Macaca fascicularis: one gene and its partners. The main gene of each other region encodes a partner of the protein of the gene in region 3 in a complex. Links are inferred from orthologs where the notes say so. Each region holds a gene or a part of one and is shown on either strand. Other genes may lie near its edges.

What was found.
Region 1: RELA (region 3) and CHUK share a complex: the UniProt entries of both Homo sapiens proteins name them as parts of the 70-90 kDa complex. The link is inferred for Macaca fascicularis from reciprocal best matches to the Homo sapiens genes RELA and CHUK.
Region 2: the proteins of RELA (region 3) and NFKBIA are in contact, whole or in part, in a crystal structure (PDB 1NFI), measured with the Homo sapiens proteins. The link is inferred for Macaca fascicularis from reciprocal best matches to the Homo sapiens genes RELA and NFKBIA. Residues at the interface, in NP_068810.3 of Homo sapiens: Arg50, His181, Lys221, Ser238, Phe239, Ser240, Gln241, Ala242, Asp243, Arg246, Arg253, Asp294, Arg295, Ile298, Lys301, Arg302, Arg304, Thr305, Tyr306, Thr308, Phe309, Ile312; in NP_065390.1 of Homo sapiens: Thr71, Glu72, Asp73, Asp75, Phe77, Leu80, Ala81, Ile83, His84, Glu85, Glu86, Leu89, Leu110, Gln112, Leu117, Ile120, Thr121, Asn122, Phe142, Arg143, Leu150, Gln154, Arg218, Asp226, Leu227, Gln249, Tyr251, Gln255, Leu256, Trp258.

What each region holds. Positions count from the first base shown.
Region 1 is NC_088383.1:109,175,933-109,180,544, forward strand, and holds the start of CHUK (inhibitor of nuclear factor kappa-B kinase subunit alpha), read right to left. Parts: upstream 3,099-4,612; 5' UTR 3,035-3,098; coding exon 2,930-3,034; intron 1,831-2,929; exon of another isoform or gene 1,759-1,830; intron 1-1,758.
Region 2 is NC_088381.1:103,220,939-103,225,313, forward strand, and holds the start of NFKBIA (NF-kappa-B inhibitor alpha), read right to left. Parts: upstream 3,099-4,375; 5' UTR 2,994-3,098; coding exon 2,767-2,993; intron 2,148-2,766; coding exon 2,039-2,147; intron 1,712-2,038; coding exon 1,501-1,711; intron 1,211-1,500; coding exon 1,122-1,210; intron 1,015-1,121; coding exon 745-1,014; intron 373-744; coding exon 325-372; 3' UTR 1-324. UniProt on the Homo sapiens protein: Inhibits the activity of dimeric NF-kappa-B/REL complexes by trapping REL (RELA/p65 and NFKB1/p50) dimers in the cytoplasm by masking their nuclear localization signals.
Region 3 is NC_088388.1:8,712,633-8,716,564, reverse strand, and holds the end of RELA (transcription factor p65), read right to left. Parts: intron 3,205-3,932; coding exon 3,124-3,204; intron 3,032-3,123; coding exon 2,960-3,031; intron 1,971-2,959; coding exon 1,366-1,970; 3' UTR 588-1,365; downstream 1-587. UniProt on the Homo sapiens protein: NF-kappa-B is a pleiotropic transcription factor present in almost all cell types and is the endpoint of a series of signal transduction events that are initiated by a vast array of stimuli related to many biological processes such as inflammation, immunity, differentiation, cell growth, tumorigenesis and apoptosis.

The DNA of each region.
Region 1 (4,612 bases), on a different chromosome or scaffold from region 3:
TGTATGCATTTCAAATGACATGAAGGAAAAAAATCCTACCAATGAGTGTACTTCTGTTTCCATATCTACACAATGAACCTAACATCTCTGGCCTGTGACTAGTAATTTAGCCAATTCTGACTGAAATTAAACCCATTCTGATGCACATTACAGGAAATAGCCAGATCCCATCATATTCTGGCAACACTAATAATGCAGCTCAGAAACAGCAGCCAGGGCAAAACAGGCTACACTATGTTTCTGATATCACAAAGAGAGTTCAAAAGAATTTCCAACATACGTAATCTCTGACACAAACCAGAGTTGTAATAAAGGCTGTGTATGAATAAAGAGAGGGGCCAGGACAGAAAAAAATATATTATAGGTGGGGAAGGAAGACACAGCTTGGATAGGGTAGTGTGAATTGGGGGCTGAGAGGAAAAAAAGGCTAGAGATAAGATGATACTTGGTGCATAGAGAAGAAGGAAAATAGGACAGACTACAAGCTAGCCTACCCACAGGTCTCACTCCCTTCAGTCTTCCTTTTGTTATGAGCAGGTGGCCAGTTATATCTATGTCCCATGCAGACCTTTACCACCATGGAGATGAGAATCAGGCACAGCTATGAACAGCACTGAGTCCTAAATGCTCATGTTGATGGAGCAGTAAGTTATCTATTTCAAAAATCCCACTTTGTAAGATCCTTCAACTCCTTAATTTATATTTCATCCACTCTGTGAAATTCTACCTTTTCGCAAAGAATGTTCTATGGGCAGTTTATAGATGTACAACAACAACAAAGTTATGTGCTTAAAAAGCTGGAATATTCTGGGGATAGGGTGACGGCTGTACAACGTCAATATACTTAATGCTACCTAACTGTACACTTAAAAATAAAGTGATAAATGTTGTGTTATGTATACTTTACCATAATAAAACAAAAAGTGATGAATTCATCCATCCCCACCCAGGGACCAAAAAAAGAAGTCACAAAAGCTGCCAGCATGCATCCTTTTTCCTTATGATCAGTCTATAGGCAGGCTTAGGTAACACAGGCAACATGCCACTGGAAGCACTTGGCTCCCACTTATTTTTTTAGTGTGTTATATTCCCTCTGATGGTGAGAATTATTAAATTTACTACTTATCCTGCTATCATAGGATTTAATGCCTTAGTCCTTCACCTTCCATTCTCTTTCTCCAAGATTTTCTCCCACACCCTATCTAGAAACCTGGTTCACAAAACTTCCTCAGTTCTATCAGTTTCAGTTGTCATTCTAATTACCCTAAACATGCCTATTTCTCCAAAGTAGACACCTATCTCCCCTTTCTCCCACCCCAAATTATGAGCTTTCTCACTACACCCATGTTCCTTTAGATAACAAATTATTACTTTTCCTCTTGAATTCATTTCTCTATTCACAATCCAAGCCCAGGCATTTTAGTAAAATCTTAACTGTTCATCTTGTCCCACATGTTGTTCCACTCAAATTTATCCTTCACAAAACCATTTTCCTAGAACAACACTTTTAATCTTGACATTTCCTTGTTTAAGGCCAATTAATGAGGAGCATTATGATCATAGCAGCAACAACAAAGTAGCAGCAGGTGCTAACAGTTGAGGGCTTTCATGGGTCAGGTACTGTATTTAGCTTTACATACATTATTATTTTATTTAACTCTCAAACCCATGATGCATGCAAGTATTATACTATACCTATTTTATAGGGAACAAAACAAAGCCTGTATTACAGGAAGTGTTAGTCCGGGGTCTATTTACCTAAAATGTCCTTTAGGAAAGCATGAACCTCTCAAATGGCAATGCATGGTTGCGTGGATGTGCATCTGTGCATTTTTCTGGGGAAAGGGTTCACAGCTTTTATTGATTATCATTTTTTATAACAAAAAATACATGTCCCAGGCCTGACGCAGTGGCTCACGCCTATAATCCCTGCACTTTGGGAGGCTGAGACAGGTGGATCACCTGAGGTCAGGAGTTCGAGACCAGCCTGGCCAACATGGTGAAACCCTGTCTCTACTAAAAATACAAAAAATTAGCCCAGCGCGGTGGCGGGCGCCTGTAATCCCAGCTACTCAGGAGGCTGAGGCAGGAGAATCGCTTGAACCCAGGAGGAGGCTACAGTGAGCCGAGATCGCGCCACTACATTCCAGCCTGGGCAACAGAGTGAGACTCCGTCTCGAAAACAAAAACTAACAAACACACAAACATGACCCAAATATTATTTTTTAAACTGCTGTTACAATGGTTAAACATTCTCTATTAAATCAAAGTAAAATTCTTGAGTCTGATGTTAACTGTCCTCCACTGACTGGAGCGCCCCCCATCTCCAATCTATTAATATCGCCTTCCGTTTGAAGCCATGATCTGCACCAACTTACCCTCATACTGTCCCGACCTGGAATACATCCCCAATTCCAAAGCCCATCCATACTTCCAAAGGTTTAACTCTGGACCCATCATGAAGCCTTCCTTGTCTACTGCAGTCCCCACTGATATCACACGGCCTCCAAGCAAGCGCGCGCACACACGGACCCAAACACACGGACGCACACATTCCAACAGGCAGTCTCCTTCAACCCTCTTCTCACACATTCGTGCTCACACATACACACTGTGACGTGCATCTGCCTCACACACCCTGACACTCTACATTCACAGAGACACACGCGCACTGTCACACTCACTAAACACCTGGTCACAGCCTGACAGTCATACCCAAGTTCCCCGCAACAGCTCTATCTATGCCCAGTACCTCAGATACAACTTTGGACACACACAGGCAGAGTATCTTTCTCTCTCATACACACACACAAGCCTACTGGCCCACAAATACTGCCCAAGGTCCCACTAACCATCTATCCCACACTGTCAGCCCTGTGTTCCACAGACGCTCAAACCCACCGCCGCTCCCTCTCGCGCCCCGCCTCACCCGATGCTGGTACAGACAGACGTTCCCGAAGCCGCCGGTGCCCAACCGCTCCCGCATCTCCCAGGGCCCGCCCGCGCCCGGCCGCAGCCCCGGGGGCCGCTCCATGGGGCGGGAGGGCAAGCGGCCTCAGGCTCCGCCGCTGTTCCAAGGCCGGTTCCGGGCCGCCGACGCTCGCGCGTCTTCCTTCTCGCGAGAATGAATGCGTCACTTCCGGTAACCGCTGCGAGAACGGCCCTTCCCTACGTTTTCCCAGGGCGCCGCCGGAGCCCTGCCGGCTAAGGGGTGGGGAAACGAACAGGTACTCGGTCCGCTCTTTAGGTCCCCTAGGTATTTTCTGGGAGGGCTGAACGGAACCACAATGTTTTTCAAGTCTTGGAAAACATAAGATCTCTCCAAACCTCGCATTCCCATCAAATCCACTTTTCAAAGCAGTCCAGTCTCTCCTGTATTAAATATATTTTTTTAATTAAGATGGGGTCTTGCTCCGTTGCCCAGGCTGGAGTGCAGTGGCATGATCACGGCTCACTGCTGCCTCGACCTCCCGGAATTGAGCGATCTTCCCACCTCCCGAGTAGTTGGGATTGCAGGCGCGCACCACCTCGCTTGGTTTTTTTGTTTTTTGTAGAGACATGGTCTTGCTACGTTGCCCAGGCTGGTCCCGAACTCCTGGCCTCAAGCAGTCCTCCCACCTCGGCAACCCAAAGTTCTGGGATTATAGACGTGAGCCACCACGCCCGGCAATTAGTCTTTTCTAAACTTCACATTGTCTCCACTCGTCTACACTTCACCTTTCTTCAGATCCCTGCCATCTATCCTCCAACTCCACCACCCGCTGATCCGGCACGCTAAAGACCACCAATGATTTAAAGGCTGCGGAACTGGAAAAATACTACGCCAGCAGGCCCACTAATGAATTAGCCTTACTGTTCACTGACTTCCCAATACACCTGCTCCATGATATGCCCCGTCATCCCAAATGACTCAATGATGTGACGCTATTCCGGAGTGAAGAATGTTTCTCGGGATTTTGGGAACTTTTTTCCTAGATGCCTCACAGAGCTTGCTGTCCAGCAGTCCAGTTAGGGCTCTGCCAGCACAGCAGTTCATTGTGAGAAGTGTTTCTAATGGGTGCTGCAGGGCTGCAGAGGCAAGCTTTGGGAATGCTGTTGGTGCAGCAAGTGCTTCCGGGTGGCGGATTGACATAGCATAGGAGAACCAGCTTCTGGTCTTCCATTTGAGAGGCTCATACTTTCACTGTACCTGGGGAATCTCAATACTCCAAGTAAAGGAGTCAGCATGGAATCAAATTCTTGAGAAATGTGATGCTGCAACCAGAATGTTGAGCACTGCATGATACAGACCAAGTCGATGTTGTAGGTCATTAGTAACATGTGGTATGGGAGGTTCTGGTTTCTATAAGTGCGTGGTTTCCATGGACTTGGAGATGATGGCGCCTCTGAGGACATGTCATTTAGAGCTGGGCAGACCGCACAGAGAATTGTGGTACAGATTGTTATAACAGTATGAAGCCCTCTCATTTGACGTATGTACAGCATGGCCAGTGCTAGTGTGCTCAATTTCCATAGGTGGGGCTGTAATCTCATAATTCCCACTCAAAAGAGGAAGGGATACTGAGGACCCAGGGATACTGATGATTGGGCTGACCCGGAAGTGGCCATCTTT
Region 2 (4,375 bases), on a different chromosome or scaffold from region 3:
TACCATGGGGTCAGTCACTCGAAGCACAATAAATATAAAATGTGGTCCTTCCATGAATTTTTGCTAACGTCCAAAACCCCACAGAGGTGAGGTTTAAAAGAAGTTTTCTTGGAATTTCAATGATCTTTCTTGTCCTCTACAAAAAGTTCACAAAAGCAACACAATGAGGGCTGATCCCACTACAATAAAACGTTTTGGGCCAGGCAGTGTGCAGTGTGGCTATAAGTACACCCTTTAAATTTTTTTTCTTTTTTCTTTTTTTAGAAAAATAAAACTTTTTTTTGTACAAATATACAAGTCCATGTTCTTTCAGCCCCTTTGCGCTCATAATGTCAGACGCTGGCCTCCAAACACACAGTCGTCATAGGGCAGCTGAAAACAAGGGGAAAGAAGACACATTAAACTTCCGAAGCTCTGCCAAGCCACTGGGATGGGGAGGCCGCTACTGGAAATAACCCTTGGACTCCATTCTCCATAGCCCAAATACAATGAACTTTACAGGCTGAGGGAGTTTGCCTTTAACTCCCATTTTAAAAATGTTTTAAAAAATGCTTTTCTTTAAAAAAGGGTAAGCTATTTAAAAAAAAAAAAAAAAGGTACATTATTGGGATACTGGTTATGCACAGAAATTTGAGAGACTCATTATGTAGATACCCCTCTGATAAGGAGCAGTTCTAGGGGCCCGGGAGGGTGAAGGGAATGGTCCCTCATTAGTTAGAGAGCCCAAGGAGTTCACAGACTCACCTCATCCTCCGTGAACTCCGTGAACTCTGACTCTGTGTCATAGCTCTCCTCATCCTCACTCTCCGGCAGCATCTGAAGGTTTTCCAGTGTCAGCTGGCCCAGCTGCTGCTGTATCCGGGTGCTTGGGCGGCCCCAGGTGAGCTGGTAGGGAGAATAGCCCTGGTAGGTAACTCTGTTGACATCAGCCCCACACTTCAACAGGAGCGACACCAGGTCAGGATTCTGCAGGTCCACTGCGAGGTGAAGGGCAGTCCGGCCGTTACAGGGCTCCTGAAACCAAAAGGAATTTGAGATGCTTATGGCTGCGTTTGGAATTTCTGCTCACAACATGAGCACGAGGAACTTGACTCAGTGCATCGGAGGCAGGAAGCACTAACCTGAGCATTGACATCAGCACCCAAGGACACCAAAAGCTCCACAATGCCCAGGTAGCCATGGATAGAGGCTAAGTGCAGACACGTGTGGCCTGGAAGAACAAAACGAAAAAAGTATAACCACCTGTTTCAACCCTCACTCCTTTCACCTATTCTTTTATGGGACAAATAGTCATATCTTCTGAATTTTAAGAACCCACCGTTTGGGTTCTGAAAGAACTTTATAAAGGCATCCAACAGGCACTTTGCACACATATTTTCTCAACCTTTCAAATGCTGGCAGTTTAAGTTCTTGCCTCGACTCCTTAAGTTGGCCCACCTGCCCCTTCTCCACATCACCTGCCACCTGAGGGGGTGGGGCAGGGCAGGGAGGCAGACATACCATTGTAGTTGGTAGCCTTCAGGATGGAGTGGAGGTGCGGGGTGGTGCAGGACTGAGTCAGGACTCCCACGCTGGCCAAGCAGCCCTGCTCACAGGCAAGGTGTAGGGGGGTATTTCCTCGAAAGTCTCGGAGCTCAGGATCACAGCCAGCTCCCAGAAGTGCCTCAGCAATTTCTGGCTGGTTGGTGATCACAGCCAAGTGGAGTGGAGTCTACGAATGCAGGAGAGACCAGAGAAAGTAAGCCAGGGACCAAACCCACACCCTGAGTTCCCCTGAACCCGTGTCTCCTGGTTGGGTGCTGCTCCTCCTAGACAGGCGGGTGGGGAGGACTGGCAAATAGCAGAGACTCCAGGTGGGTCACAAAGACCTCACCAAATCAGTGGAATTTCCTTCACTCTCTAGGATGTGGGCTGACGTGAAGTAAAAGGTGAGGGTGAATAATGCCCTGTGGCCCTGAATTCAGAAAGGATCTGGGGTGACTTTGCTACATCAGTTCCATCCCAGAGTTAGAGAGCCCGGGCCAGGCAAGCGGCGCACCTGCTGCAGGTTGTTCTGGAAGTTGAGGAAGGCCAGGTCTCCCTTCACCTGGCGGATCACTTCCATGGTCAGTGCCTTTTCTTCATGGATGATGGCCAAGTGCAGAAACCTGTGGGGAAGAGAGGGAAAAACCCCAGGGGTGGTGAGTGCACCGCGTGGGGCCCAGGGAGGCGCGGGCTGCGGGGGATTGCGCAAGGCCGGGGTTTCTGGAGGCCGAGGCCGCGGTGTTTTCCGCGAGGTTATTATGAGCTGAGTGTTCCTGGCAGGCGCCCAGGGACTTTCCGCCCCCCTCCCCCCGCGGCCCCGGCGGGCGCCGGCCAGACCGCCCCGCCCTCCCGCCAGCTCGGAACGCCCTGTACTTCCCCTCCCGGCTGCTCGGCGCCCGCCAGCGGCCAGAAACTCCCGCCCCGCCTTATGCAACCGGGGACTTCGCGTCCCAGCTGCCGCCCCGCCCCCGGCCTAGAGGACAGGCCTGGGGGGAGGGGGCGTGTGGCGACGCTGCCGTCCACCAGGGCCCAGCCGCCGCCCCTCCGAGTCGGGCCGGTGCCCCGCGCGGCCCTGCAGCCCTGCAGCGTTCGGGGCGGTGCAGGAGCCCCGGGGCGCCGCGGCGCCAGCCCGGCTGCATCGCTAGTTCCCCAGCTCGGGCTCCAGGCCCGGCGCCTCCCACTCCCCGGCCGCGCGCATCCGGCCCTCCCGAGGACCCCCGGCTCCGGGTCTGCGCCACTTACGAGTCCCCGTCCTCGGTGAGCTGCTGCTTCCAGGGCTCCGCGCCGCGCGGCACCTCCTGCGGCTCGAGGCGGATCTCCTGCAGCTCCTTGACCATCTGCTCGTACTCCTCATCCTTCATGGAGTCCAGACCGCTGTCGTGGCGGTCGTCCAGCAGTCGTTCCTTCTTCAGCCCGTCGCGGGGACCCTCCATGGCCCACTCCTGGGGGCGCTCGGCCGCCTGGAACATGGCGCGGGCGAGCTGCGGGCGCTGCTGCGGGTGCGCTGGGCCGCGGGCTGCGCGCTGCTTCCTCGCTGGGGCGCTGGCGGGCGGGACGGCGGCACGGGCTGGTGTGGGCTCTGCAGCGCCGCCGCGGCGCCCTATAAACGCTGGCTGGGGATTTCTCTGGGGCGGGGTCAGGCGCGGGGAATTTCCAAGCCAGTCAGACCAGAAAAGAGAACTGGCTTCGTCCTTTGCTAGGGGGAAAAAGAAGCCTAAACCCTGAGCTGGGGTTCGTCGGAGAAACTCCCTGCGATGAGCCACTGGGGTCACGGACAGGGAACTTTTTGATGAGTGCCAAGTGGCTGGAAAGTCCTTCCGACCAGGCCCCCTTCCCCGCGGTACTTCCCTGCAGCCTGCACCCTGTAATCCTGTCTCTCTGCAAGTGAACCTTCTTTCCCTGGGGTTTCCCACGATCGATTTGAATTGGGGTCGTCGGCGGCTGAGATCCCAAGGACGCCGACCTGATGGGCGGTCCCTCTTTGGGGTTTGCCAACCTGCCGGTCCTTTCCGTTTTTTGATCTTTTGAAAACGCAAGAGTGGAAATGATGGCTGGGCGTAGGGATTTGCTTTCCCCAGACTTCTAAGGGGAAGGACGCACTGTGGTTATGGGGCTGCAGGCTGCTCTTGTGTTTCTGCTAATATCAGGCTCATTGCAGCACGGGGACGTTTAGCTTCGCGCCCTTCCTCCCCTACCCCCCACGCACCTCTGCCAGGTAGAACTGTGAAAGCTTTGGAGGAGTGGAAAGCCTAAATCCTTGGAAAACTCTCAAATCACTTCCAATCACTTCCTAGGGATGAACAGCCTTGTTGAGTGGGGGAGGGGCAAACTCTCCCTGTATGGGGAAACTGCTGAATAGGACCATGATTTTTTTTTTTTCCCCCAAGTAAAGCAAGGTGTTAATCTTTGTAGTGGTGGTTGTGGATACCTTGCAATAACAGAGTAGCTATTGTGTTCATAAGTAGCTGTTGCATTCATGCTATCTGACCTACATTGTGCTGCCGCAGAGAATGGATCCTGAGCCTACTTCTGGGCATCTAAACTGAGCAATTCGAGGAGCACTTAGAGAAGGAGGCTGAAGAATGAGTTTAGTTAGTGCCTTAACCGCGATTGGACCTTAAGGACCGCTAAGAAAGTAGTTGCCAGTCATCCTGCAGGAGGCTCAAGGCAGCCCCATCCTCCCATCCTGCCCACCCCGCCTTGCTCCCTCGTCCTGGGGGATAGTAGCAGTTGGACCCATTCATGCCACCCAGGTAGAAAGGGGTTTTGGCTCACTATGCTCTGATTTCACCTGCAGAAATGTAATTTATGCTCTCCATCCCACCTCCACCTCCAAGCCTGCAAGCCATGG
Region 3 (3,932 bases):
CTGAGCTTGCGCTGGGGCAAAGCGGAAGTACGTCCAGCTGTAGCCCTGTGGGCTGCGGCTGGGCCTTTGTTTTGGCTTCCTGAGGCTGTGGATTGAAGCTTTCACCGTTCCTCCCAGAACAGAGTATCAAAGCATCGGTGGGGCAGGGTAGATCTTCACCTGGCACTACACATCCCCAAGAGAGAAGCACACACTCCCTGGGCCACCCAAGGAATTAAGTCCAAATTTCCTGGCCCCATCAAATCTTTCGAACATCGTTTCTCTTACCTCTGACGCTGGCTAGTCCCTCTGCGAGATCCACTCTCAGCTGATCTAAGACCTGGAGCAAATGGGGCCTCCGGGAAGACTCCTGAAATTGCTCAATCCCCAGTCAGTGGGCCCTACTAGGCTCTCGGTGTGTTAGGACTCCTGCCTTAGTTGCCCGTTTTCATCCACTGGACAGTAACTCGGGGTTTCCAAGGGCATTCTCAGACTGCAGGCTCTCAGAGGACAGTGCACGCATTCACCCAGCTCTCTACCACCAATGTCCGGCCTGATGTGACTAGCAAAGTGTGTGCTCAGTGTCTGCTGAAAAAAAGCGAATCTAGCCAGCTTGGCAACAGATTTATTAATTCAAGAGTAGAAAGAGCAAGAGTCCAAGTGCTTTGATTCTTCGGTGAAAACTATGCCTCCTGACTGGAGAGCTGCCAGCCTGCTCTCCCCGACTCTCTTTAACAACTTGCCCTCAATTAAGGCACTTGAGAAGAGGGAGAGCAGGGAAGTCCCAGACCAAACCCCCTCTGGATCCTTGAGAGAGCCAGCGTTGTTCCACTGGTTTCCTTCAGCCACAGCTGAGCAAGGAAAGAGCCGGCAGAGACCTCTGTGGGGCACGAAGGCCAGCCCCTCAAATGCTGGTGTTAGGCACAGCGACAATGCCAATGCCATAGAGGGGCTGGTACCTGGGGCGTTATTTCAAGGTGTAATGAATCCATGATGGAAGACACTTGATAATAAGGCTGTGTGGGCTCAAAGGCCTTACCTCTAGCCTGCTTCTCTCTCTAGGAGAGTACTAGAAGCTGCAGGATGTGGATGGGGGACCCCATAGTTCCATACAGAGAAGGGAGCTGACCATCAGGACAGGGGAAGAGTTTGAGTTTCCCCAGCTTCCCCCTTTCCAGAGAAGTTAATGCTTCTGCTTAAGCACCTCCAAAAAGAGAGATAGATACAGGTACTGCCAATAAAAGAATAAAATATGCCTTCCCCCTCCAAGGAAGACATCACCAAAGTTGGGGGCAGCTGGAACACACCCCACCAGAATCCGTAAGTGCTCTGGGAGGGCTTCAATCCCCTGCAAGCCAGTGCTCTGGGGAGGGGAGGCATCACCCCTTAGGAGCTGATCTGACTCAGCAGGGCTGAGAAGTCCATGTCCGCAATGGAGGAGAAGTCTTCATCTCCTGAAAGGAGGCCGTTGGGGAGCCCCGGGGCCCCCAGTGGAGCAGGAGCTGGGTCAGGGGGCCTCTGGGCCCCTGTCACTAGGCGAGTTATAGCCTCAGGGTACTCCATCAGCATGGGCTCAGTTGTGTGGGGGGCCACAGGTACGCCCTGGTTCAGCAGCTGCTGAAACTCGGAGTTGTCGACTGATGCCAGGTCTGTGAACACGGTTGGGTCTGTGCTGTTGCCAAGCAAGGCCCCCAGGTCTTCATCATCAAACTGCAGCTGCAGCAAGGCCTCTGACAGCGTTCCTTCCCCAGCCTGGGTGGGCTTGGGGGCAGGTGGGGCCACAGCCTGAGGAGGGCCTGGGGCTAGGACTGGGGCCTGGGCCAGAGGTGATACCATGGCTGGAGCAGGGGCAGGGGCTGGAGCCTGGGGCAGGACTTGGGGAGGGGCCAAGGCTGAGGCCTGGCTTATCTGCCCAGAAGGAAACACCATGGTGGGAAACTCATCATAGTTGATGGTGCTCAGGGATGACGTAAAGGGATAGGGCTGGGGTGCTGGAGGAGAGAGACAGAGAGGCAGGGGTCAGAGAAAGCCCTAGAGATCCACTCCGTCCTCTTACCCCAGCCCCTCTTGATGGCGCCTAGGCTCAATCCCTCTCTAGGAAGTCACTGCCAACACCCTATCTCCTTCCTCTTACCCCATCTGACCCAGCCTGTAGGGTCCAGTTCTAGCCACACCTCCACGTTGGAGTCCTCCCTGACTACTCAAGCCCACAAAACTCTCCCAGCCTTTTAAAGGAAGGGACACTTTGAGAGACAAGCTGGACTCCTCGGTTTACAGCTGAAAAACTAAGTCCTGAGAGGCAATGAGCCCATGGAGCATCAAGTGAGCAGCGGCCTCAAGTGGACAGCTTGTCAGTTTTTGAGCCTCGCACTGGCACATACGTCTTGCTAATTCAGAAGTGATTTTTGTTCCCCCTAATTCAAGTGAGAGATGAAAGCAGAGATTCTGCATTTTTTTTTTTTTGAGACGGAGTCTCGCTCTGTCGCCCAGGCTAGAGTGCAGTGGCGTGATCTCAGCTCACTGCAAGCTCCGCCTCCCAGGTTCATGCCATTCTCCTGCCTCAGCCTCCCGAGTAGCTGGGACTACAGGCGCCCGCCACCTCGCCCGGCTAATGTTTTGTATTTTTAAGAGAGACAGCGTTTCACCGTGTTAGCCAGGATGGTCTCGATCTCCTGACCTCGTCATCTGCCCGTCTCGGCCTCCCAAAGTGCTGGGATTACAGGCATGAGCCACCGCGCCCGGCCGATTCTGCATTTTTAACTTCTGAATCCCAAGATACCCAGTACAGGATTTAACTGGCACAGTGGTTCCCAGGCTTCAGCATGCATTAGCGTCCCAGAAGTTGCTGGTTCCTGCGCCATCCTTTCAAAGCCTCTGATTCAGTAGGTCTGTAATGGGGCCCAAGAGTCTGCATCTCCACTGCTCCTCAGCTGAACAGAGCTGAACCTGTCGTTCCAGTAGGACAAAAGGAAATCCTTACCTGGCTTGGGAACAACTGAGCTGCGGGAAGGCACAGCAATGCGCCGAGGTGGAGGCCGGGGGTCAGTGGGTCCTGCAGGGCAAGGGCTGGGTCAGTTCTCAGCCCCAGGGTGTCCCCTCCCTCCCCGCTGCCTTTCTCTCTGTCCTTCCCGGTCCCCATCTCACCGCTGAAAGGACTCTTCTTCATGATGCTCTTGAAGGTCTCATATGTCCTTTTGCGTTTCTCCTCAATCCGGTGACGATCGTCTGGGAAAGTAAGGGGGAGAAGTGGGACTTGCTCTCCTCAGGTGGGCCCCCAACGCTCTCAAAGGACCCTCAGGAGGAAACCGAGGAGCCAGGCTTTCCCAAGACCCGTTCTCCCAACCTCCTCTGCCAGTGAGAAGGGATGTGTGACATCCAGCAGTTCTGAGAATCCCACAGCTTTTGGAGGCCTCTGTTGGCTGAATCTGCCCCTCTACGGCCACATGGCGAGGCCGAGTACAGGGGCCGTGCTCTGGGGAAAGAGGAGCCCTGGGGGGCCCCAGCCTCCAGCTCATGCCTTCCTGCACTGCTCACGTCCTGGCTCACTGTCAGCCTCCACCCAGGGCGGTGAGAATTTCTTGCCACTCTGGGGCAGCTGGGGCACAACTGCCTTAACACTTCAGCAGACTCTTATTCTTATCTGTAATGGTTTCGTATTTTAGTCGGAGCTTTCAGAACTGTCTTTCTTTTTTTTTTTTTTTTTTTTTTTTTGAGACGGAGTCTCGCTCTGTCGCCCAGGCTGGAGTGCAGTGGCCGGATCTCCGCTCACTGCAAGCTCCGCCTCCCGGGTTCACGCCATTCTCCCGCCTCAGCCTCCCGAGTAGCTGGGACTACAGGCGCCCGCCACCTCGCCCGGCTAGTTTTTTGTACTTCTTTTTAGTAGAGATGGGGTTTCACCGTGTTAGCCAGGATGGTCTCGATCTCCTGACCTCGTGATCCGCCCGTCTCGGCCT